3 linked regions of the Drosophila melanogaster genome follow. The protein of the gene in region 1 interacts with the protein of each later gene in a pairwise test. Each region holds a gene or a part of one and is shown on either strand. Other genes may lie near its edges.

Region 1 (7,847 bases):
TTAGCTCGCCTGTCGACTCGCGACTTGACAAGCAATTTATGGCGATATATTATATAGAGGCATCCATAATTTATGCCCAACTGCAGGAGAATCGCTGCAGCGGAAGTGCGAATCGTGAATCGGGAGCCAGGAATTCGAAGGGAAGCTGCCACTGTCAATAAGGAAACTTCATTATAAATTACCCAACTGACAGTTGCAGGCAGACGCCGGAGAATAATAATAATGGCAGTCCCGGCGAAAGTTAAAAGCCAAAGAAAACCCTCCTCCCCCCTTTGTCCATGAGGGCTATAAGCTCTTACCCAGCCCGGAGATTGTTTCAATCTGCTTAAGCGACCAAGTCGATGTCGGAATCGAAGGACCTAGCTTTTTGGCCCCCAGGCAATCAGGCATGCAACCAGATCTCCGCCAGATCCCAGCTCGACCCCTTCTGCCGTCCGATTGTTGTGCTTAAAATTGCTGAATAATTGTGCGGAAGTTGGTAGTTGTTGCATTCTGCGATGAAAATGGAAAAAAATGAACATAAAGTGAGGGTGGTCCATGAATCACATAAAAAACAAATGTCGCGTCGTTAGGCTAAAAGCTTTATGCAAATTTTCCATTGCTTCTTATCATATTCTCTTTGCCGTGCTGCAAGCTGAATGGAAATTGTATTGAACAGGGGATGAGATTGCATTGCGGGCTGGTCGATATGTATATATATATATATAAGTCCGATATCGGGGGGTTAATTGGGTGGACGGTCATTGTTATGCAGCTTAGGTCAAGTGTCTGCAATTAGGTGCAATTGTTTGAGAGGAAGTGCCATTTAGTTAAGCATTTGAACATGTAGGCTACTTACCAACCCCTTTTAAGAGCATTATTATTACTGCAACAGCAATTCGAACGCTTATTGAATCGGTTAGATTGGGTCTACTAAATTAAATCACATTACTTACGTTTAGGAAATGGGAATGCTTACACGAAAAAAAGTTGTAAATACTGTAGCATTATTTTAGCTTGTACATAATTTCATAAAATATTTATAATTTAAGACAAAGATTTAGTTAACGAGAGGCACCTAACTTGGAAAGCTAGTTACAAATTTTGTTGTTCTAAATGATTTCCTTGATGGCGTTAAAAAGCAAGATGATCTTTATACCTCTAAATCCTCTAGGACGTCCTGAAGCTCGGTAGCTACCCCCAGATCGTCGTCGTGATCTGATTTTCCCGAGTCCTCAGCCGATTTATCCACATTGCCACCCACCAATCGATCAGTATCAATACCAAACTTGAGTTCAAAGGGAAAACTCAGCTTGGGCACCTCGAAAGTGTGCATGTGGTAGTCGTAGTTGGTCTGCTCTTCTGGCGGAGCCGGGCAAGCGTGTTTAGCTTGAGGATTTCTATCTAAACCAGTCTGATGCCCCTCTTGTTCGGGATGCATATAGATGGTGTGTCCCGCTCCCGTCGCATTGTAGGCGTCATTTTCGGTGATACGCTTTGTGGAAGTATCAGGAGTTATTTCGGTATCGTCAATGAGTATGTTTATATCAATGGGCACGAGCATGTAGGTTTCTCCAGTACTTTCATCGGTTTGAATTTGGCTTAACTGCTCGTAGTCCTCGTCTGAAATGCAATCCAAATTTATTACATGGTCAGATTTCCAGCGAGCAATTTCCTTGGCGTCTGCGCGTTGAAACTTATCCGATTCCGAAGATCCAGTAGCTACTCCATTTGAGGTAATCTTAAATTTGTATAATAGCGGTTCTTTGAGCTGGACAAAAGCCTCTGGCTTACCAGCCTCCACATAAACTTGCACTTTATCCAGTGCATTGGCTATGAAATCATCGTTTGATAGCTCATTCCGCTCCTGCTGGCTTTCGTCCTCTATTTCCTGTGCCAGCAACTGCTGAAGCTTGATCATTTGCTCCTTGGTCAGATTGAGATCCTTTAGACTCATCGTTGCCCTGTACGGATTTAGGGATAATATATATTAGTAATGTACACAAAAAAAATATGATGATATTCGGAGTGATAATAATAAGATTGCGATAATGACTAGAAAATAAAGATCACTAGATATGGAAGCTGTGTATAAAAGTTTAGTTATCATAATTTCCTTTTGATTTTATAAAGATACTGTATGTCTTGGTTGCCCAAAATTACCAAAAACCCTATTGTATCTCATTAAGTATATAATATTTAAGAATTTTTGGCGAACATACATGTCAAACTAGTTTGCCAGTGCACTGGTTTCAAGATATGAATTGCTCTTCTGGGCTTCTATTCTATTGTTTGGAGAACGTACTTAAATTCAATTATTGTTTAAACACATCGAGAGACTTACCATCGTAATCTGAGACAAACAGTTGCTGATTGCCCTGAGGGCAGGGGTACAATTAAACAGCCTTGTCCGCACATTACCGCTCACGTTTTATGGCTGCCGTTTAAAAATATTGAAAAAAGCAGGGCAGGCACGAAATTGAAATGCCTGCCAGCGGGCGCAGCTTTATTGGCACCCGTCGACCAGGAGCCGGGGCATTATCCTGCAGATGGCTGCGGTCACTGGACATTAGGCGCTGGAGGACAACCGGTGTCCGTCGACAAGGCCAGGATCATGGCAGAACGGATACGGGCATTGTACATGAGATGGCGTCATTAAATACACATTACCCTGCCGGCGCAGGACGAACTCAGGAGCAGGAGCAGGAGTAGGCGACGGTGGAGTGGAGGCAGTCCGGCGATAAAGGCACAACAACCGCCGAGCAACAGTCGGCCAGCAGGAGAATGGCTATTAAAAAGCAGCCCGGGCCGAAGATAGACATGGTCGGCTACAGTGGCAGACATAACAAATTACACCATTTCGACAGGCGGTTCACAACAGGAAGGCAGTGCTGTTGAAATAGACTTTCCTTAGCTATTAGCTAAGAATATCAAGGATATTATGTATAGAGATTAGAAGCCAAATATATTTGTAAGACATTTACCATATCCATAAAACTGAATTTTAACAAAATAATTATAATATTCTCACGTTTCTTTATTTGCTCTAAAAATTCTGATTATGTCTTTAACAATTATTGATCAATTTTAATAAGACAATCGATCCTTGCATTCAGCTAGATAACCAAAGCTTTCTTCATTTTATATATACTCGAGATTCCCTTTGAAATAGCTATTTATTCTTATCTGCAATCGCCAGCACTGGATTGACACTATGGCCGGTGGTTCGATGGTTGGTGTTCAGTTTCAATTGTGCTGGCAAACGTGACTCCAAATTGGCTGCCGGCGAATAATTCATACGAAACACTTTCGCACCGTGCGCCTTGCCATTAGCATCGTACCACTGCCCCCACCGTCGGATGACCACCCACCTCCCACCACCCACTGGCACCCAAAGCGCCCACTTCGAACCACAGGGTAGCCCATGCCATGCCCCACGTAACCCCACGATTGCATTTACAGCAAATTATTTATGGCTGCGACAGACACGGAACAGGAAGCGAGTATGCGCTGCCAACTTCACGTCCATCAATATTTTATGAAACCCTGTCTGCAGAACGCTCCGCGCTGCTCTCAGCCGCCGGAATGGATGGGTTGGAGTCCTCGGAACAGGACGAGGGTATCTGCTTACATGGCTGCCTTGTGCCTTCTGCCGGCTGCCTGGCTGTCGATATCCGGTAGATGAGTATCTAAATTGCCTTTACTGTTGATGAATTAGCGCCGGCTGCCTGCCGCTCCCATTTGTGTGGAATGGGTGGCATTGCAAGTGCCTGCGTGGCGCAGATAAGCTTCCACGATGGGTGCAAATTTCAATTTGTTCTCGATGATTTTGCGCTCATCAAATAGGCCGGCAATCTAGGAAGACGGGAACACGACCTTGTTCGAAAGGATATGAAGTGAGAACAGAGCTACAACAGCAGGGGATTGGCAATTCACCAAACGGATGCACCTAAAATTACTCCATCATTCCTGTTGGAATAATACACATTAAAAATGAGTAGTAGAAAATGACTTATCAATCCTTGAGTTAAACATCAGTAACTGTTGCAGTATTTTTAAATTACCAGTTACGTCCATTATGTTACTCTCCCGCAAGGAAATCGTATCGTTATTGCTATTCCTCACGGCGGTTAGTTGCACCTGACTGCCATCTAATATCTGACCTTGTGACTCACCCCAGTCATCTGCTCCGCAGATCATTTCCGTGCTGAACGCGTCGGTGTTTGGGAACGTCCTGCCCCTCCACGTCAGTTATGAGCAGCTGGGCCATCAAGTGGTCTGCGTGGGAACTGCCTACATTTGCCTGATTTACGCCATGAGCACCTGGTTATACCACTCGAATTATTCCAGGACCCGTCTGCACATGCGATTGGTGGTGGGTGGTCGGCCAAATGGAGGTGAAGTCTAATTTCGAACATTTAAATATCCCATTTTTGCAGCTGGTGGCCATGATTTTGATTATGATACTGTTTAACTGCGCTTCTACCTACTACTTCCTAACCGGCGTTTCATTTTCAAAGCTAGGAGATTCCATGGAACTAATTTTCCTCTTTAGCAGCTTTGCAATGGCCTCCAAATCGGTCAGTTTGAGCATGTCGGCCATCAGCGTGGTGATCCTGATCGTGATCATGGTGTTACTCATTGTGACAATCATTCAGTCCCATAGAAGACACAAACGGGACAGAATGCGTTACCTCGAGTCGCAAAAGCAATAAACTCATCCTCATTCCCGTGGGAGTGCACATTAAGTTTGGTTTTTATGCAACGCCAAACATTTCATGTCGCTGCAATGTGGCGCCGTAGCTGCAATAATATAAATATTGCACTCGTACCTCGTTTGGCACAGACAGACACGAACTGCTCACCTCCTTTATTTTTTCACTCATGACACACCGATTCTGTGTGTGTGCTTTCTTCGCAGGTGATATGAAAAACATATACGAGTGTAAGAGAATCTCTGTTATTGTTTATCCAAGTCGCAGTGGGCATGCCCTGCCTTGAGAATAATTATACAATATATTTTTGTAATTCTATGTAATAAATGTTAGTTAATAGGGTTGAAGTTTGAAATTTTCTTTCTTTCCAAGATTTTTACTCATTCTGGGTCTTAATAATTTGGCATTACATACATTTTCGGTACCTTTTTTTCTCGATTATGAAAATGCCATCAGTGTATGCAGTGTATGTGTGAGTGCTTGGGCACCATCAGGGCCCAAAAAAATACCATTCTGGCCAGGATAAGTCTGAACAGTGCAACTCATAAGGGAGACAAGCAGCCTCTTCACATCGGCTTGTGTACCATTGCATTTTGCATAATGAAGCCGGCAGACAGTGCACTTTCGAGCATCAGACAAACGAAGTTAGGTACGAACTTAAAGGCTTGCCAAGCTGGAAAAGTTAAAGTTAGCTTTTTGGCACAAGTAGTGAGAAGGGGTTGGTAATTTGGGTAGGGGTTTTTAGGAGCGTTGTAGTAGCCTAATTACGCTCCAATGGCTGCCCATCAAAAGTGACAGTTGGCAAGGCAGGGGCTTACAATAAAATTTCAAGTTAAGTTATTGCCGCGCCGCTGGCGAGAGCTACGCGAATACTCAGTTGAAAGTAATTCCAAATTTAATTGCGCACAATTTAGAATGGCGAGATGTTGGCGTGCGTTTAATTAACTGAAAAATAACATAAAAAGCAAAACGAAAACAAAGCCCAATGACAGCCGCGGCGCCAGTGGAAATGCTTAATGTTAAATGCCAACTAATTAAATTTCGGGCATGCCAACGAAGTTGACTGGAGTTGAACTGCCGAATTTATTGTTGCATTTAATGGCCAGCGCAGGCGGTTATCCTTGTGCCATCGCTCGGCTTTACCACTTTTTATTGCGTATACGCTGGGGCACCCCCATTACGTATACGCAGTGTATTACGCCCCTCCACTCACAGCAGGCAAATGGACAGGCTAAAGGATTCGCTTTGTGGACAGGGATATAGGATGCCAAATGACGCAGAACCACTGGCATTGCGATTGTAATTCCGATTGGGCAAACGTCAGTTTCTCTGCGGTCCGTCGCCAAATGAAGCCAATAAAATGTCCTTGTTCGCACGCAAACGTGCGAAAGTGATTCATGTAAACTGATAAAAATTTAATCATATTTCACGTATTAACACGTAATTATTAATGCCTGATAAATGTCGGCAGTTGTGTAATATGTGAAAAAGTCGCTATTAATATGCATTATTTTCCGCTAGTTGTTATTTCACTGGGTAAGTAAAAAGCGCACGGTGTGTCCACAAGCTTCGGAAATACTTTGCTACGCATTACCATATAATTATAGTACTTTAAAAATATTTTATAGATGGTCTTAAAAACTTAAATTTCATTATATTTTACCACGCAACACTCCCGCTTGTTTTTTATTCAGAACAAGAACAGGTTATTTTACACCACTGCGTAATAGTTCTTTATTTAATTCTGTTCGAGTGTGTAATTTCGCTATGAAACTTCACTTTTATTATTATTGTCATTGTTATGTGTGCGAACGCCTGTCGGCGGGTTTATTTGGACCGTCCCGCGCTTTATTTTCTTTTAATTATGTACTCAGCTCACAAATGTGGGTCAATTAACAAGCAGTCGATGGTCCCCATCGATGTCGAAAAATCGGGATTAAACAATGCCGCAGACGTGCTGCCAGGACAATGCAAACAATTGTCAGAATTTAAATGCAGCGGCAACGGACCGCGAAGTTTCCACTCACTATCCGGTTCAATTTTCGCATAAATTATGCCGCCATATGTCACACATCTGGCGAATGCTACGAATTTCGATTTTCCGCCGTTTTTCCGGAACTGTCAAATGCTCGGCGTGTGTAGTTCGCTGTTTTGCAATTCTTGGACGGAATGCTGGAATGGTTTTAATATAAATCACTAAGTGTCTGCAAAACAATCAAAATCTGGCATGAACTATGTTACGGTGAAACTTAGTCATTAATTAATATGCCCTCAAATTTAAGTCGCTGAAAATGTCTTGCTTTTCATATAATCGAGAAATAAAATTACTATTGTACCTAAGATCTGTGTTAAGAATATTATAAAAAGTCGCGTTTGCTTTGACTCAGTTGTCACAAATTTGCCAGGCACAAATTTATATTTATGTAATTTGGAGCATGGGTTTTTAAAAACAATAATCACAAAAAGATTTTGAAATGGAAGCAGTTGCTAGAGAAAATGATCCACCAAATCATTGCTATATAAATGAAGAAGTTCCAGCGAATGAAACTGCCGAGAATCCTAGTCATGGCCTTCAAGGTGAGGCATTCCAATTAAATGGAAAATTATTAATGTTCAAGGTGAGCAGGTGAGGTGATTTCAAAGGGTTATATACCAGACTTGTCCAACGCAAACGTCAATCAGCAACAGCAGCAGGAAAATGATGGCGAAGATGACCTCTTGCCTGGAACTAGACTTCGCTACCGTCGCAGGAATTTGCATCTGGATCCCTATGTGTGCAATGAGTGCAACCAGTATGTGCGTGGTGGTGTGATCACCATCTGTGGTCATTTGTTTTGCTGGACTTGCCTGTGGCCCAAATTGAGTGGTACAGCACAGCCAAGATGTCCATGCTGTCAACGACATTTGCTCATGTACGAGGACATCATGCCCTTCCATGGAGAGGGACCCAATGCCCGTCAGGAGGATAATAATGTGCCGGCCCAGCCGGGCTCAGTGCCTCGCCCGACGGGACTGTATCTCTCTGATACTGATTTTCCCTGTTGGTTCGCGGTCAACGATCCTGTAGATGGGTGCCCAGCGACTTTCCCTGATATTCGCAGGGAGAGGGATCTTCACTGCGCTATAAGGCTTATTCCAATGGTGTACCCTTGG
Region 2 (7,198 bases), on another chromosome or scaffold:
GCCGAGCTCGTCCACAAGGCACTGAACAGCTTCGAAGGCTACAAGGTTAACCCCGTACAGGGCGCCATGTACGTCTTTCCACAGATCGAGATCCCGCCCAAGGCGATCGAGGCGGCCAAGGCCAAGGGCATGGCCCCCGATGTTTTCTACGCATTTGAGCTGCTCGAGACGAGCGGTGAGTTTTCTTTGCTGACCTCGTTTGTTAGTCTCTCAATTTATTGTTTAATTTTCTCCCAGGCATTTGCATTGTTCCTGGCAGTGGATTTGGTCAGAAGCCCGGCACGTGGCATTTCCGAAGCACGATCCTCCCGCAAACGGACAAGCTGAAGCTGATGATGGAGAAGTTCCGTGTGTTCCACGCCGAGTTCATGAAGAAGTACAAGTAGATCAGCTGCCAACTTCCCCGTCCTCGATCCCTGTGTTAAGTGTCAATCCTCCGGCTTAGGATTAAAAATTTAAATTACCCTAATTGTTTTTTTTTTTTCCTCTTTGTTACTGTGTCATAGCTGAATGCTTCTAAGCTCTTCTTTATATGCATATATAGATATATATGAGAAATATATAAAAACATTTTTAAAACCCTATGATTTGTGAACCCAACCCGCGCAGGTTTTATCGCCACGATAACGTTTCCAGTTAGCAATTAACCCACTTAACCATGTAGTCTTTGATTCTTAATTGAACGAAAACTCCTGGCGGAGATTTGACAATAATTTTTGTTAGAACCAAAAGTAGTTTACCATCTTTTGGTCGGCGCATAATTGAAAATTCTGATATTGTTCTAAACGAAAGTTATTTGCATTGTGTATATTTATATTTATCTACACATAAATATATATAGCCCTGCATGTGCTTATCCCCCGCGAATCGATCACGAAAATCATATGATGTGTGTGCGTTCAAGTCATTACTAATTGTTATAGACAAGAAGAAACTTTGAAAATAAATAAATAATTATTATTGTTAAGCCAGCGCTGCGTTAATTTCAATTTGGGCAATGGGTATCCTTTTGTAATTTGTTTTTAAGAAAAGCTGAAAATCCCGACATTCCCATTAAAAACACCCATTGTGTATATTTTCGGTTTTAAATTAGGTTCAATTTATTGATTCTCATTTCACGACTTATGTAACTACTTGCACTTACGCCAAACAATCGCATATAGTACCTTTTTTTCACTTTTCTCTTGACATGTTTTGTGTTGCGACAGATTTAGGGTAAAAACCAAGTGGATAAATAATTTAGGTTCGCGGACATACAATAAATTTACCTTTGACATCCATTGTTCATCGGATGCCTCACTCTTTGTGTGTTGTAGTTGTAGTTGCGCTGGTGGCTTGTTCTTTTTATCTTTTCATTTTCTGAATTAAAATCTACCAAAGTCTTAAGGCCTAAAAACCAATGTGTACCATAGTTGTACTGTGGCTATACTAGCGAACCATTCGGATCGAAGAGATGGCTGGGTTGTGTGGTGGTCTTTTGTGAAGTTGCTCGATACCTTTTTTTTTTTTGTTTTTTGGTTTTGTTCTCTGTGGGGGGGGGGGGGTTATTATATGGAGGGGGACGAATTTATTGAGTCAAACTTCAGAAATCTGTTGAGCCATTTTTCGTCTGGCAAAACAGATCCTTTTTGTCCTCAACTCTGGGGCCGTACTACTTTATGTATATATCTCTGTATATGTATAATATATATATATATCTATATATATGTGTGTGTTGTGGAGTCCAGTTTTGGGCTGCATCCCACTACTACTCTTCTCATCTAATGGCGGTCCCTGGAGTCGGAGCGACTGCGACGATCCCTCGAAAAGCTGCGGCTGCGTGTCCTTGAGCGGCGGGGTGAGCGTGATCTGCAATGAAATGGGTAGCGTTTGGGGAAAAACATATTGGGCCCGGCACACACATACAGGACACAGAAAGAGAGAGGTGAGAAAGAAAGAGAAAGAGAAAGAGAAAATACAAATTAAATAGATTTTGCACCAATGAGTAACTTAACTAGTCGTGTAGTTAGATAACAATTCCTTAAGATACGTAAAGTTGATAAGAGTGGTCTCGATCAAACAACACACAACTTGGGCTGACGGATCTGGTGGATCGGATACGGATCGGAGAGCTGACATTGGAGCTTTAATTTGAGCTGAGCGGAGCTGAGAGCTGGCAGTAATTTTTTTCAGTTTTTTTTTTGGTGGCTGAAGGTGCTTGAAGGTGGTGGAGATATAGCTGATATATATATATATATATATATTTTTTTTTTGCCCCATTAACGAAAGCGTTGGTGTGACATTTACATAAAGTAATTGGTGGTGGTTGGTTGGATTGGTGGCTGATTGGTTTGTTGGTAGGTTGCTTAGTTGGTTGATGAGCAGAGCAGACTGAGAAGGCTGTTGTTGTTGTTGTTGTTGAATTGTAGTAGTAGTAATAGTAGTAGTAGTAGTAGTAGGTTCTTGTTGAACTGTTGTAGTTTGGGCTGTTGTTGTTGATACGATACTGAGCTGATTGACTGTGACTAGGGTGGCTGTGTTGTGTTTCTATTATTATTATTATTTCTTTTTTTTTGGTGTGTGTTGTTGGTGGATATATTGGTGAATCATTCTATTCTGTTGCAGCAGCCGAAGAACGTAGGTCGTATGAAGAAGCAGTTGGTGGGGAAGCATCAGTTAGCAGCAAGAGAGGATCAGGTTGGTGGTTGTGGTTTGGTGGTGGTGGCGGTGCAGCTCCTACCATCCGCGCTGTGAAGTTGCGAGCTTGAAGAAGATTCTGCCCTGCCCTGAACTGCTGATGCTGCTGGTGCTTTGGTCGATTGTTGGTGGGGTCGTTTTGTTGGTGAACTGTCTGACTGTGAGTTCGAGCTGATCGGATCAATGCATATAAACACACATTTACACAATATACTTGTATATTACACACAGAGAGCAGACAATTAGCGCGAACAAGATTATCTCAGTAGATGTTAGGATGCAAGAACAAAAGGTAAAAAAAAAAACAACCATAATTACAATTACGAGTATAACAAACGGATTTTGTTAGAGGCGTTACGTTACGTTTCGTTTCGGTTCGAGGGACAGTGTTGTTGGTGGCGGCCAAAGGTTTCATACTTGCTGCGATTGAAGGAATTAGCATGAAGCAGCCTCAATCTTGGTTTGATTGCAAGGGAAAGGTGCAACTACTGAGTGGTGGAACCAACAAAAAGTCTACCAAAGGCTTTTCAGCCTCGAGATCGATTTGCTGACTGGCTGCCAGATGTTCTTGTTGTAGTAGTAGTAGTAGTAGTAGTAGTAGTAGAAGTAGAAGCTGTTGTTGCAGTTGGTCTTTGTAGCTGTAGCTTGTTGCTGATGCTGTAGCTGCACTAAAGATGACGGATGATGAGGTGGTGGGTGGTTTGTTGGGGACGTAGGAGCAGGCTGAAGACAACCGCACAACTTGGAGACGTAGGAAGTTGACTTTTTGAAGCGTTGCTGGACTGGTGAGTGTGTGTATAATATATATATAAATATGCAATAGATGCATTTTGGCATTTGGATTCTTGATGAAGTTGCTCTGTTGCCGCCGACGATCGGTTCGCTCTGGTTCTTGGTGATTAGTGTGGTTAATGGCTGTTTGTGTGAGTGTGTCTGTTGTGTAGCCTGAAGATGTTGCCAACTAACAGACTATAAATGATGTGGAAATGTGGAATGCACTGTGGGGCATACGACCATCTTCGTTTGCTAAATCCTATTTATATTCCAAAGCAATATTCTGTTATTTGACAAAGAAAAAAGACCAACGTTTAGCAGCTAAATCCTATTCAAAATAGGCATAGATCGAAGATTACTTAAATCGTTTTCTTTTCTTTAGTTTGTAGCTAGTCGTGTGCCCCATAGTGGAATGTATAGTTAGGTGACTGTGGGTGGTGTTCGGTCTGGTTTTGGGTGCATTATTCTTGAAGCTGCGGAGCCGAAGACGTTGCTGATGATTCATTTTTTTCTGTTCTGTTTTTCTTTTTTTTTTTTTTTGCCTGGGTTGAGCTGAACAGGTGGTGGAGGGGGTGTGGTAGTGTTGCGGTCGTTCGGTTTGGTTCTGGTTCTTGGTTTTGTGGTCAGCGGAATATATCGAATTTGTTGAATTTCTGGTTAGGGCCGCACAACAAATTGTTATTGCATGGTGGTGGTGTAGTGGTGGCTGTAGTTGTTGTTGTTGTTGGTGAAATGTGTGTAATAGGAGGAGCAGGATCTGCTGTTGTACTAGTTGTTCTTGTAGTAGCTGTTGTTGTTGTTCTTTTGGTTGTTGTTGTTGAAGGAAGAGGAGTAGTAGAAGTTCTAGTAGTAGTAGCTGTTGTTGTTTTTTCTTTTTTCTTTGTTGTTCTTTTAATTATCATTATTATTATTATTATTGATGTTGTTGTTGTAGTAGTTCTTGTTGTGCTTGTTGTAGTAGAAGAAGAAGACTTTATCCTGCAAAATGATTGTGAGACCACATTAAAACTGGCTCCAAGCGATCGATTTACTTTGTTTTTACTAAGTTTTCTTGTATTTTCTTTTCATTTTTCTTGTATTTTGTAATTTTACTAAAAACAACAAACAAAACGTTTTCTCTAGTTAAAGCTATACTCTTTGAACTTTAAACTATGGACCTCGGGGTGCATATAATGAGCAATGAAATGTGATACTAAAACAAGATTCCCCTTAAAAAACAAAATACGAGCTAAAAAGAATCGATTGACGTAGCAAAAGCAACCAGGACTGTCGGCCACGGACGCCACTGTGTGCGCGCGGTAGGACTGTTCTTTTTCACGGACGCCACTGTGTGTGTTTATGTATGGCTAACAGTGGTGTCCCACCGTATGTGTGACTGTGTGTATTTTGGCTGGCACCGCTTTTGTATGTATACGCGAATCGATTTTTCACATGCATACATACACACAAGCACACACGCTATATAAATATGTATACATATGTTTATTTATATATATATTTTTGCATACTTTTTTGCACATAATGGCAAAAATTATGATTTCATAATCTCGAGAGAGGGGTAGTGGTAGTAAGTGGGTGCTTTGGTTGGTTGGTTAGTTAGTTTATCTGGTTTATTCTGGGGATGCAAAATGTAATGCTTTTGTGCCGTACTCACCTATAGCGTCCACCGCCATCGCCAGCCCTTCCACCGCCTCCAGCACGGGCGCCACTGCCACCGCCGCGGCCGCCGCCACCGGATCCGCCTCCACCACCGCCGCCTCCACCGCCACCGCCGCGACCCTCTCGTGAACGGCCTGATGACATTTCGACACGGATGCGGGTGCCACAGCAGCGGGTGCCGTCGAGGCCACGGGTCGCATCCTCAGCGTCGCGACGATCCTCGAACTCGACGAAGGCGAAACCGGGCGGATTGCGGGCCACCCAGACGTTGCGCAAGGGTCCGTATTTGCTAAAGGCGTTCTCGATCTCGTATTTGGAGGCCGAGGATCCCAGATTGCCCACGTAAACTTTGCAGGCTAAATCCCATTCACGGTAGCGTGGCATTATGTATGAATATGTATGTGGCTGGAGGTGCTGCTCCTCCGGTTCTGTAATGGATTTTTGGTATTTGTTGTACCACTGGACTTGTCCAAAGTCAATTTTCCAGTTTGTTTTGATGCTATTCCGAGGGAATTCTCCTTGGTTTTTCAAAGAGCACACCCACAAAGCAGGAGCAGAAAAAAGTGTTTGTGAGGAAAAAAAGATGGCGTGCCCTCCAGTGTTGAAAAGTGAACGAGGTGCAGTACCGTAAAGCGCTGACCATAAGATATGCGACTATCGATATTTTATAGGAATATCGATCTTTGAAATATCATTTTATTCTATTTAATAGTTTAAATTAAATGTTTCACAACCTAAGGGTACTTAGTTAAAGTATTATTATAAATATACCTTAATTTATGTATGGATACATTTGCTTAATTTCATATACCCGATGTTAAGAGTAAAACTAGATGTGGTTAATTTTTGAGTCGGCCGAACCAGATACTTCACATAACATACTTCAAAAGATAACATATCGATAAGTCGAGAACACGGAATGGCTTTTTAACATCTGGCAACCCTGCACACCCAGCTGTCCCTATTATATAGGCACATTATTATTGGCCCTTTTTCGTTTCGGCAATTTTGAATAAAATATCGCAGAACAAAATGGCTAAGACACCGGAAAACATAGCCATCGATCAGTTGGACAAGGATCAAATTAAGACGGTAAGCAGAGTTGACACGAAGATACCATCTCATGCCAAGGACCGGCGGTGCCAAGTGATGCAATGTGGTTTTCATTTGATATGTTTTCGGTTCTAACTTTCAGTTTTCCGACTTCCTAATGTCCTACAACAAACTGTCCGAGACGTGCTTCACAGATTGCATACGCGACTTTACAACGCGGGATGTTAAGGATTCCGAGGTGAGTGCCCGTGGGGAAGCTCCATGTGGAAATCAGCGATTTCAATATGCCCATCCATTTCACAGGAGAAGTGCTCGCTGAACTGCATGGAAAAGTATCTGAAGATGAACCAACGCGTCTCGCAGCGTTTCCAGGAGTTCCAGGTTATTGCCCACGAGAACGCACTGGCCATGGCTCAAAAGACTGGCAAACTTTAGGTGTTATAGCTGTTACAAACAATCTTAACTAGTTTAGACAACTGAGATGATGCATTTTCCTGCATTTGTCAAAATAGCTGAGTAAAGAAACGCGTTGACGGAATCCCGACGATTATTATCTACTATTCGATTATTGTGGTACTTTATTGCTGATTGATTACGGCCTAGAGATCTTGTTTGAAAAAGACAAGTGTGGATCATCAGTTTCGAATATGTTCCAGCTGAGTAGCAGCCCATCTTTTTCGTTTTAGCACTTCAGCCTCATGACATTTAAATGGTAGAATTGGGCGCCGCAGCTGCTTACGTGCTAGATGTGCCTACAATTACGTTTAAGTCACGTTAAGACAGGGCCGTAGTCGCATGTGCTCCGTGGCGGATGTGCAACCGATATATCGGTCTTCGGTATCCCGAACACCGGAGCCGACTACGGCGATCTCTAATCTAGGTCTAATGCATAGAGGCCATCGCCTGTGGCCATCTACTCAATACTTAGGGCTACACAAGGTTCGCCAATGCGTGGTTCCCGTTTTCCGGCTGTATATTCAATCGGCTCAATGACTCGTGGTGGCGGCCTCCGACGGAAAGCCCTCTGCCTCTGTGA
Region 3 (8,633 bases), on another chromosome or scaffold:
TATTGTTATGCTAGAGACTAGGCTGTCGATCAAAGAACATCTGGCGGAAACGAACGGGAAGGCGGTGAGCGTCGCTAGGGCTCTAGCGAATAATGCTCAACAGCAGGGGTCCAAGGCAAGGGCGTAGACTACTTCTTCAGTCTGTCTGCAGGGGGCCCATATCACAGCAATAAGGACACAGTGCCTTCGAAAGCGATAACAAGCCCTACATGGCCATCCAAATATGAGGAACGGACTCCGAGCAGCAACTGGAGCTTAGCTTCTCCATTCAAACCCAATTTTCACTATTAAAACACGCGCTGCTCGGCTTGCTTCCGGACTTCTTTGGTACGTCTCCAATTACGCTTCCCCAAGGATTTAATCACTTTTCATCCCAGTGGAAATGTGCAGAGGTCATTGTTATCCCAACACTGGTAAAGCCGGATGAGAACTGTCGTCCTACAGACCAATAAGTCTTCTAACCATTCTGTCAAAAATTGTGGATAAGCTATTCTTGAAAGACTAAGGCCAATAGTAGAGGAGAATAATATCATTCTGGACCCACAGTTTAGCCTTACAAAGGGTCATGGTGGTTTTTCCCATTTTAAAAAAGCTGTGAGCAGGATTTTAGATGCTTTTGAAAGCATTATGTATTGTACGCAGTTTCCCTTGATGTGAGACTTGCCTTCGACAGAGTGTGGCATCAAGGATTACTTTGTCTTAAAACTATATCTCGATAACAGACGTTTCCATATCAGATACAACCAAGCAGAATATTTTATACATAAATTGTTTTAATTATTTTGTATATTTAAGTCATTTGACTTAATATGATGTATGTAAATGATCCATTTTTATTATTTAAAATGCACACTAGATTCATTTGTTTTTCAGTTATAGTTATTTTTTGTGTATTCAAATTTGATATTTTGGGCACCATTTTTTTTTTGTTTTTCCTTTTAATTTCTCTTAGCCCGTGAGAAAAATCACTTAATAGACTCGGACTTCGGGAAACTAAAGCCACCATCTGATCTATTTTTTAATACACATTACAGTTTTTGAAAATATTTTTAAAAATAATGAAAAACAAATGTGCAATGCATTAGGTGCACAAATAAAAGTGGTGCCTTCTCACTATGGTTTTATGAAAATAATGAATGTTTTGTTTTTTAAGCATTGCAAGTGGACTGTGATAGCTAATAGACAAAAAAAGCAAGCTAAGCTCAGCATTCTATCTCATAAATAACAAAAAATATAATAAAAATAACTTAATTGGGGAACATGGAAATGTTAAACATTAAAATATTTCATGTCGACTCGAAGGTCATATAAATATAGGACCCCATTACAATTGTAATGGCCTCCTCACGGTGACCCTGGACACCGATTATTAAATACATTACACATAATTAATTATCAACATAAATATAAATATGTAAACGGTAGCCAATTTGAGCGTCGATTTTAACAAACGAATTTAAAAAACTTTAAAATTATAATAGTCAGGGAGTGAATTTTTAATTATAATTTAAAATAAGTAAATTCGTTTCTTCGAGCAGAATTGATGTCGGCCAGAAAATCGTCTTCTTACACAAGTACGCACACATATGCACGTTCTCGTCTCTTGTTTTTACTCACACAAGCAAGCAAATTCTATTTTTAGAGTTCTTACGCTCTCAGCGTAAGCGAGCGGACAGAAGGCAATTTTGGCCGTCACCAAAAAAGTGGCTGCATAGTGCCAAGCCAATGTATGGCAGTTACGCATCTTGTTATTCTAGTATTCAAAAGCCAACAAACAAATATTTGTGGGATAACCGTTGACACCAAACTACCACGGAAAGAACATATCACAAGAAAGGTCAAGCTTATAAATCACAAAAGTTGGCAATTGTACTGATTGCTTAAAAAAAAAGTAATCTTTCCACCAAAAACAAGCTCCTCCTGTACAAGGCTATAATTAAACCAGCGTGGAAATACGACATTGAGGTGTGGCAGCTTCATACCCAGACATCAACAATATCTTCCCTTTTTGGGATATCCAAAGATATTGGGAAATAAAATGAGAAAAAATTTAAAAACTGTTTAAAACTGTGGGCGTGACCGTTTTGGGCGTTTTTTAGGTGTGGGAGGAGGCGTGGCCAAAGCGTTTTTGGTACACCCATAAAAATTGGCCAGACAAGGAATAGAACGAAGAAAAAATCGAACAATTTTTTAAAAGTTTGGGCGCGACAATTTTGGTCTGTCGATTTTGTGCATTAGAGTGGAAGTGGCAAAAGGTCAAATCGATAAATATTTGTTTGTCAAGAAACTGTGAAATAAGTTGAATTTTTGACTTTAAAGGTAAAAATTAAGGGTTCTTTGCTTAATTAAACACAATTTTTTAATTCAATATAATTAAACAATATTTATTTTACTTATAAATCAAAAAAACAAATTAAAAATATTAAATATACAGGAAAATAAACAACAAATTCCAAGTCTACACACTTTTGAGCCTGTGAAGAAAACATTAAATCGAAGTGTAATCGAAGTGTAATTATTAAATTATTTTATTAAAATTTAAAAAGTTTTAGTATGTAGTATGTTCCCCATTGGCTTTGGCTACAAGTTGAAGCCTTTTTCATGGAATGAATAAGTTTTTGAAGGTCATATTCAAGCGGGATCTTTTCACACTCTTCGACTATTGCAGTCATAAGCTGTTGTGTTTTAGGGCCCTTTTTGCCACCTTTTTATTTAAGTAGGTCCACAAATTTGCAATGGTGTTTAGATCAGGAATCTGAGGGGCGTATCGATCACTTTACCACAGTTATAAAGGAGCCATGTGCGTACATTGTATCTTTTTGATTCGGATCATTGTCCTGATAGAACTTAAAATTTGGCTTGTTGTTGCTAACTAGACAAAATTTTTTTGCACTGGCCTTAAAATTTGTTTTTAAAATTTTCAGATATTACACGGGACTTATTGTGCTTTCAATGAAGGCTAGTTTTTCCAATCCACGGCTGGAGATACAAACCAAACCATCAGTGACATTTTTCCAAATTTTGTCGTTGGAATGATATTTTGTTTTTCTAGCGCACTCAACGGCTTGCGCCACACTCTGCTTGGCCCATCGTTATAAAAGAGACCAATTTTAGTTTCGTCACAAAATATGACGTCATCCCAGTACTCTTCCGGATGATCCACCATGCTCACAGCGATTGAATGATTCTTTTCAATATTGGCCTCTGATAGCAAAGACTCCTTGCAACTCTTGAAGAGTACCTATGGCGTACGATGAAAGTAGGAAAACAAAATGTGTAAAGAGTTTCTTGACAGTCTCAAAAGTGTGTAAACTTGGAATTTGTTGTTTATTTTCTTGTATATTTAATATTTTTAATTTGTTTTTTAATTTATAAGTAAAATAAATGTTGTTGTAAATATGTATTGTTTATATGTTCGGAAACGCTTCCTTCTGCCTGTTACTTTTCAACGAATCTTTTACTCTACGAGTAACGCGTATAAATATCAAAACATTTTTCAAAGGTGTGCGCGTGGCTACTTTGGGTGGTTTGTGGGCGATGGAGTGGACGTGGCAACATGGGTCAAAAAGCTTGCGCTTCGTCTATGAATCTAGGAACTTTTATAGTTCCTGAGGTGTCGACGTTGATCAAGAATATATAAATGTACTTTATATTTTCGGAAACGCTCCATTATGCCTGTTACATACATTCGATACTCTACTCTACGAATAACGAGTATTATAATAATACATTTTTAGCTCAGTCTTTAATCTAAAGCACAAACTTATAGATTCCAGTTGCAAATGTCAGGCTCGGTATGGCTGCGACTGAGCTATGATTTACATTACATTATTTATTCAAATCAGCTGTCCTGAAATACAACATAAATCCGGTGACGTTGAGGGTGGTATAGAAAGAAAAACAACGATCCAAATAGCTCGGTTAAGAACCTTCAATAAATTAAATAAAACTTTTAGAAATATCTAAATTAAAATGAAAAATTAAAAAAAAAAATTTTTCGATAAACAAGAATACATATTTTAGACATCATTTTATCAAAAAACTATCAAAAACTTATTTTCTATTAGTGATTTTGTATTTTGAATCTTTTGTAGAGAATGCGAAGAAAGTAATGAATGCTGGCATTGACATTGAGTACTCTGATCAATTAAGGCGTATCAAATTATTATAAAATGGCTGAAGGAGTTTGATGGAATAGTGGCAGTTGACTAGACACAAAGGAAGCAAATACAATAATTAGATTTGTGAAATATATTATAGAATACGAAGATGCGCATATACCTTAAAATTTGATATATGTATATAAAAAAGTGCATTAAATGCGGTAAGATATAATTAAGTGTAATGATAAGAGGGATAAGCCATTCACAGGTCCCGTCACAGTCCAGATCTTCCATACATTATAAAAAGAATCGTGGCAATCTGCTTTATGGGAGATCCCAAAAAGTTGATTGGCATATCGATAGTACCTGGTCAGTCCCATAATGTAATGGACAGTTTTGATCTGTTTGAGCTTGCGAACCGAATGCTTTACTAGAATGTTGCTTCAAATAGCCTCCATAGTTACCGGTATCTCAACATTATGGTCGAAACGACGGAGGGATATCGCAAAAGCGACTAGGCAAGTGTTTCTAATTGAGATTATATTACATTCATGGGTCAGAAACTCTTCCTTATATCTATTGCATTTACAAAATAAGCCACTTTTACGTTAATTGTTCGCATTTGCGTCACAATTTAAAGTGCGTATAAATATTGTATTATATAATTTACTACTTAAACTGGCAAAAGGTTTATATATTTAAACAAACGTTCTGTGGGGTTATGAAATAGTGCCAATAAGAAGTGAGGGACCGACATGTGTGAATCGGGTATAAAGCCTATTCTTAAATTGGGTATGCGTGAAAAAGGGTTGAACTGGTTAATTTGTACAAAAATATTTCGTTATCTTAGCATTTTCGGAATTGTTATTTGATTGCTGTAGCCGCGCACAGTGGAAAAACTGTAGAGGCTTTAAAAAATGGGGAGAAGGAAGTCTAAAAGAAAACCGCCTCCGAAGAGAAAGAATATTGAACCCCTTGATCAACAATTTAATTGTCCATTTTGCAACCATGAAAAATCGTGTGAGGTTAAAATGTACATATTCAGGACAGTTCTGATTCTACTATTATTCGACCGAATATGTAGACATATAGATTTTATTTGGTTCTATATGTAAGTCCAAAACCTAAATTTATTAAAACAACTCTTTATTTTATAATTTCAGGGATAAAAGCAGAAATACAGCGAAAATAACTTGTAGGGTGTGCTTGGAGGATTTTCAAACGGGAATTAACTTCCTTTCAGAACCTATCGATGTTTACAATGATTGGGTAGATGCCTGTGAAACAGCAAATTAAATGGAATTAATTTTAAGTTAGTTAGTAAGTAAAATAAATTGCTAGAGCCCTCTAAATTATACCATAAAATAAGTTTAATACAAAAAATTTAGCATAATAGCGAGATTGAAATAAACATTTTTGACTTATTAAAATAAGCTGAACCCATGAAATTCTAACAAATTTTTGTTCTAGGAATCAATTCTAAAATATTGATATTGTATTGCGCAAAGGAGATTCGTAGAGTGAATCTGTCCGTCTATCCGTATGAACGTCTTGATCTCAGGAACTATAAAAGCTAGAAGGTTGAGATTAAGCATACACTTTCTATAGACATCGACTCGTCGTAAGTTTGTTCACCCATGTTGCCACGCCCATAAATGACACAAAACTACCATGCTCACACTTTTGAAAAATCTGTTGATATTTTTTCATATTTTTAGTGTTGTAGATTTTTATCGATTTGCCATAAAACTTTTTGCCACGCCCACTCTTACGCCCTAAGCCGCCCAAAATTACCGCGCGCACATTTTTTAAAAATTTTTGGATATGTTTTCATAATTTAATTAGTCTTGTAAATGTAGCTTAAAGAAGCTGGGTTCGGAAATATCGAATTTTTGATGTTTAAAAGCAGGAATCGTTTGCCCATTTGCCCAATTAGTCCAGTTTTTGAGATATGAATTTTCGAAAAAGTTCAAAAATTTTCGAAAATCAAAAAGTTGACTTTTTTCAAATATTATTTTTTTTAAATCGCAATAACATTGTTTGCCTACACTTTGGAATTTTGAAAAAAATGTATACTTTAGAAAATATAAGTCATTTAAGTTTACCTCCACTCAGAGAATAAAGCGTTTGACCAAAGACATTAGAATTTTATTATTATTATTATATTATTATTTATTATTCCAGTGTCTTTGGTTTGATCATATATTAAAACGAAATATTATCAATAAAAAACGTTTGCCCAACCAGTATTATTAGTTTTTAACGTTTGACCACCCTCAAAAAACCTTTAACAAAATTTTTTTCGATTGCCCTCTTTAAATATATCCAATTTCACTAGCCCACCTCTTTAAAATAAAAATGTTCAATAAAAAACGCTTGACCATCCTTTAAAAATAAATTATTTCGTTTGCCCACCCTTTAAAAATAGTTTTTTTCGTTTGCCCACTCTTAAAAATAAATAAATTCGTTTGCCCACCTTTTAAAACTAAATAGTTTCGATTGTCCATCCATTAAAATTAGTTTTTAACATTTGCCCACTTCTTTGAAATAAATATTTTCAAACGATTCCACCTTTTAAATCTGAAAAATTCGATTTTGCCGAACCCAGCTTCTTTGAGCCGAATTTCCGTCACAACTAAGCTAAAAAAGGTAATATTACCAGAGCTAACGATCCCTATCACTTTTTGATGGATTTAGGGAAATCAATTTTTAGGTAAATTTTCGCATGTTTTGTAAGGGGTCATCAAAATTTGCAAAATATGGCCAAAAAATTTAATTTCCATTTTTGAACACAGTTTCATTGGAAATTTTATTACGATCTGAGGTATGACATTCCATATTCAGACAATTATTTTAAGGTTGTGGCAAAAAAACTGATTATTTGATGACCGAAATTTGGAATAACGGATTTTTTGATTTGGGTCATCAAAATTTGCAAAATATGGCAAAAAAATATAATTTCCAATTTTCAACATAGTTTGATTGGAAATCTTATTACGATATCAGCGAGGTATAACATTCCATATTCAAACAATTATTTAAACGAAAAAACTGATTATTTGATGACCGAAATTTGGAAAAACGGATTTTTTGATTTGGCTCATCAAAATTTACAAAATATGGCCAAAAAATTTAATTTCCATTTTTGAACACTGTTTGATTGGAAATTTTATTACGAGCAACAAGGTATGGCATTCAATATTCAGACAATAATTTTTAAAGTTTTGGCAAAAAACTAATTATTTGATGACTGAAATTCGGAAAAACGGATTTTTCCACAAAGTTGATATTTACAAACGGAATTTTCGACATAACTTGGCTAAAAATGGTCATATAGATGTAAGAATAACTGTTAATTACCAGTGCTTACTATCTCTAACATTTTTTGAAGGATTTAGGGAAATCAATTTTTGGGTCAATTTTTGCATTTTTTGTAAGGGGTCATCAAAATTTGCAAAGAATGACCAAAAATTTAACTTCCTTTTTTGAACACAGTTTGATTGAAAATTTAATTACGATCTGAGGTATAGCAAGAAAACTGATTATTTGATGACCAAAAATTGGAAAAACGGATTTTGCAAAAAGTTTATATCTGCTTATTATTATTATTATATCTACTTATTATTCCACAAAGTTGATATTTACTAACGGAATTTTCGACATAACTTGGCAAAAAATGGTCATATAGATGTAAGAATAACTGTTAATTACCAGTGCTTACTATCTCTAACATTTTTTGAAGGATTTACGGAAATCAATTTTTGGGTCAATTTTTGCATTTTTTGTAAGGGGTCATCAACATCTGCAAAGTATGACCAAAAAATTTAACTTCCATTTTTGAACACAGTTTGATTGAAAATTTAATTACGATCTGAGGTATGACATTCCATATTCAGACCATTATTTTTAAAGTTGTAGCAAGAAAACTGATTATTTGATGACCAAAATTTGGAATAACGGATTTTTTGATTTGGGTCATCAAAATTTACAAAATATGGCCAAAAATTTAATTTCTACTTCTCAACACAGTTTGATTGCAAATTTTATAACGAGATCAGCAGGGATAACATTCCATGGTCAGACAATTATTTTTTAAGCTGTGGCAAAAAAACTGATTATTTGATGAACGAAATTTGGAAAAACGGATTTCTCCAAAAAGTTGATATTTACAAACGGAATTTTCGTCATAACTTCGCTAAAAATGGTCATATAGATGTAAGAATAACTGTTTTGAGAAACTAATTACCAGCGCTAAAGATCCCTATCATTTTTTAAACATTTAGGGAAATCAATTTTGGGTCAATTTTCGCATTTTTTGTAAGGGTCATAAGGGTCATCAAAATTTGGGAAAAATGTTAAAAAAAATTTAATTTCCATTTTTGAACACATTTTGATTGGAAATTTTATTACGAGCAACAAGGTATGGCATTCAATATTCAGACAATAATTTTTAAAGTTTTGGCAAAAAACTAATTATTTGATGACTGAAATTCGGAAAAACGGATTTTTCCACAAAGTTGATATTTACAA

The links.
Region 2: the proteins of CG14380 (region 1) and Tim9a interact in a two-hybrid assay, tested with the Drosophila melanogaster proteins (one large-scale study listed by BioGRID).
Region 3: the proteins of CG14380 (region 1) and CG40228 interact in a two-hybrid assay, tested with the Drosophila melanogaster proteins (one large-scale study listed by BioGRID).

The regions. Positions count from the first base shown.
Region 1 is NT_033777.3:13,184,533-13,192,379, forward strand, and holds CG14380 (uncharacterized protein), read left to right. Parts: upstream 1-3,986; 5' UTR 3,987-4,057; coding exon 4,058-4,108; intron 4,109-4,174; coding exon 4,175-4,354; intron 4,355-4,418; coding exon 4,419-4,694; 3' UTR 4,695-5,036; downstream 5,037-7,847. Other genes in the region: CG8508 (uncharacterized protein), read right to left, coding at 1,133-1,936; CG8141 (uncharacterized protein), read left to right, coding at 7,169-7,271, 7,321-7,847.
Region 2 is NC_004354.4:13,379,196-13,386,393, forward strand, and holds Tim9a (Tim9a), read left to right. Parts: upstream 1-6,014; 5' UTR 6,015-6,141; coding exon 6,142-6,201; intron 6,202-6,304; coding exon 6,305-6,400; intron 6,401-6,465; coding exon 6,466-6,597; 3' UTR 6,598-6,698; downstream 6,699-7,198. Other genes in the region: CG1640 (uncharacterized protein), read left to right, coding at 1-175, 238-386; Rbp1-like, read right to left, coding at 4,074-4,428, 5,105-5,493; Ype (yippee), read right to left, coding at 7,149-7,198. UniProt on the Drosophila melanogaster protein: Mitochondrial intermembrane chaperone that participates in the import and insertion of multi-pass transmembrane proteins into the mitochondrial inner membrane.
Region 3 is NT_037436.4:27,080,227-27,088,859, reverse strand, and holds CG40228 (uncharacterized protein), read left to right. Parts: upstream 1-4,953; 5' UTR 4,954-5,020; coding exon 5,021-5,136; intron 5,137-5,266; coding exon 5,267-5,399; 3' UTR 5,400-6,769; downstream 6,770-8,633. UniProt on the Drosophila melanogaster protein: Transcription elongation factor implicated in the maintenance of proper chromatin structure in actively transcribed regions.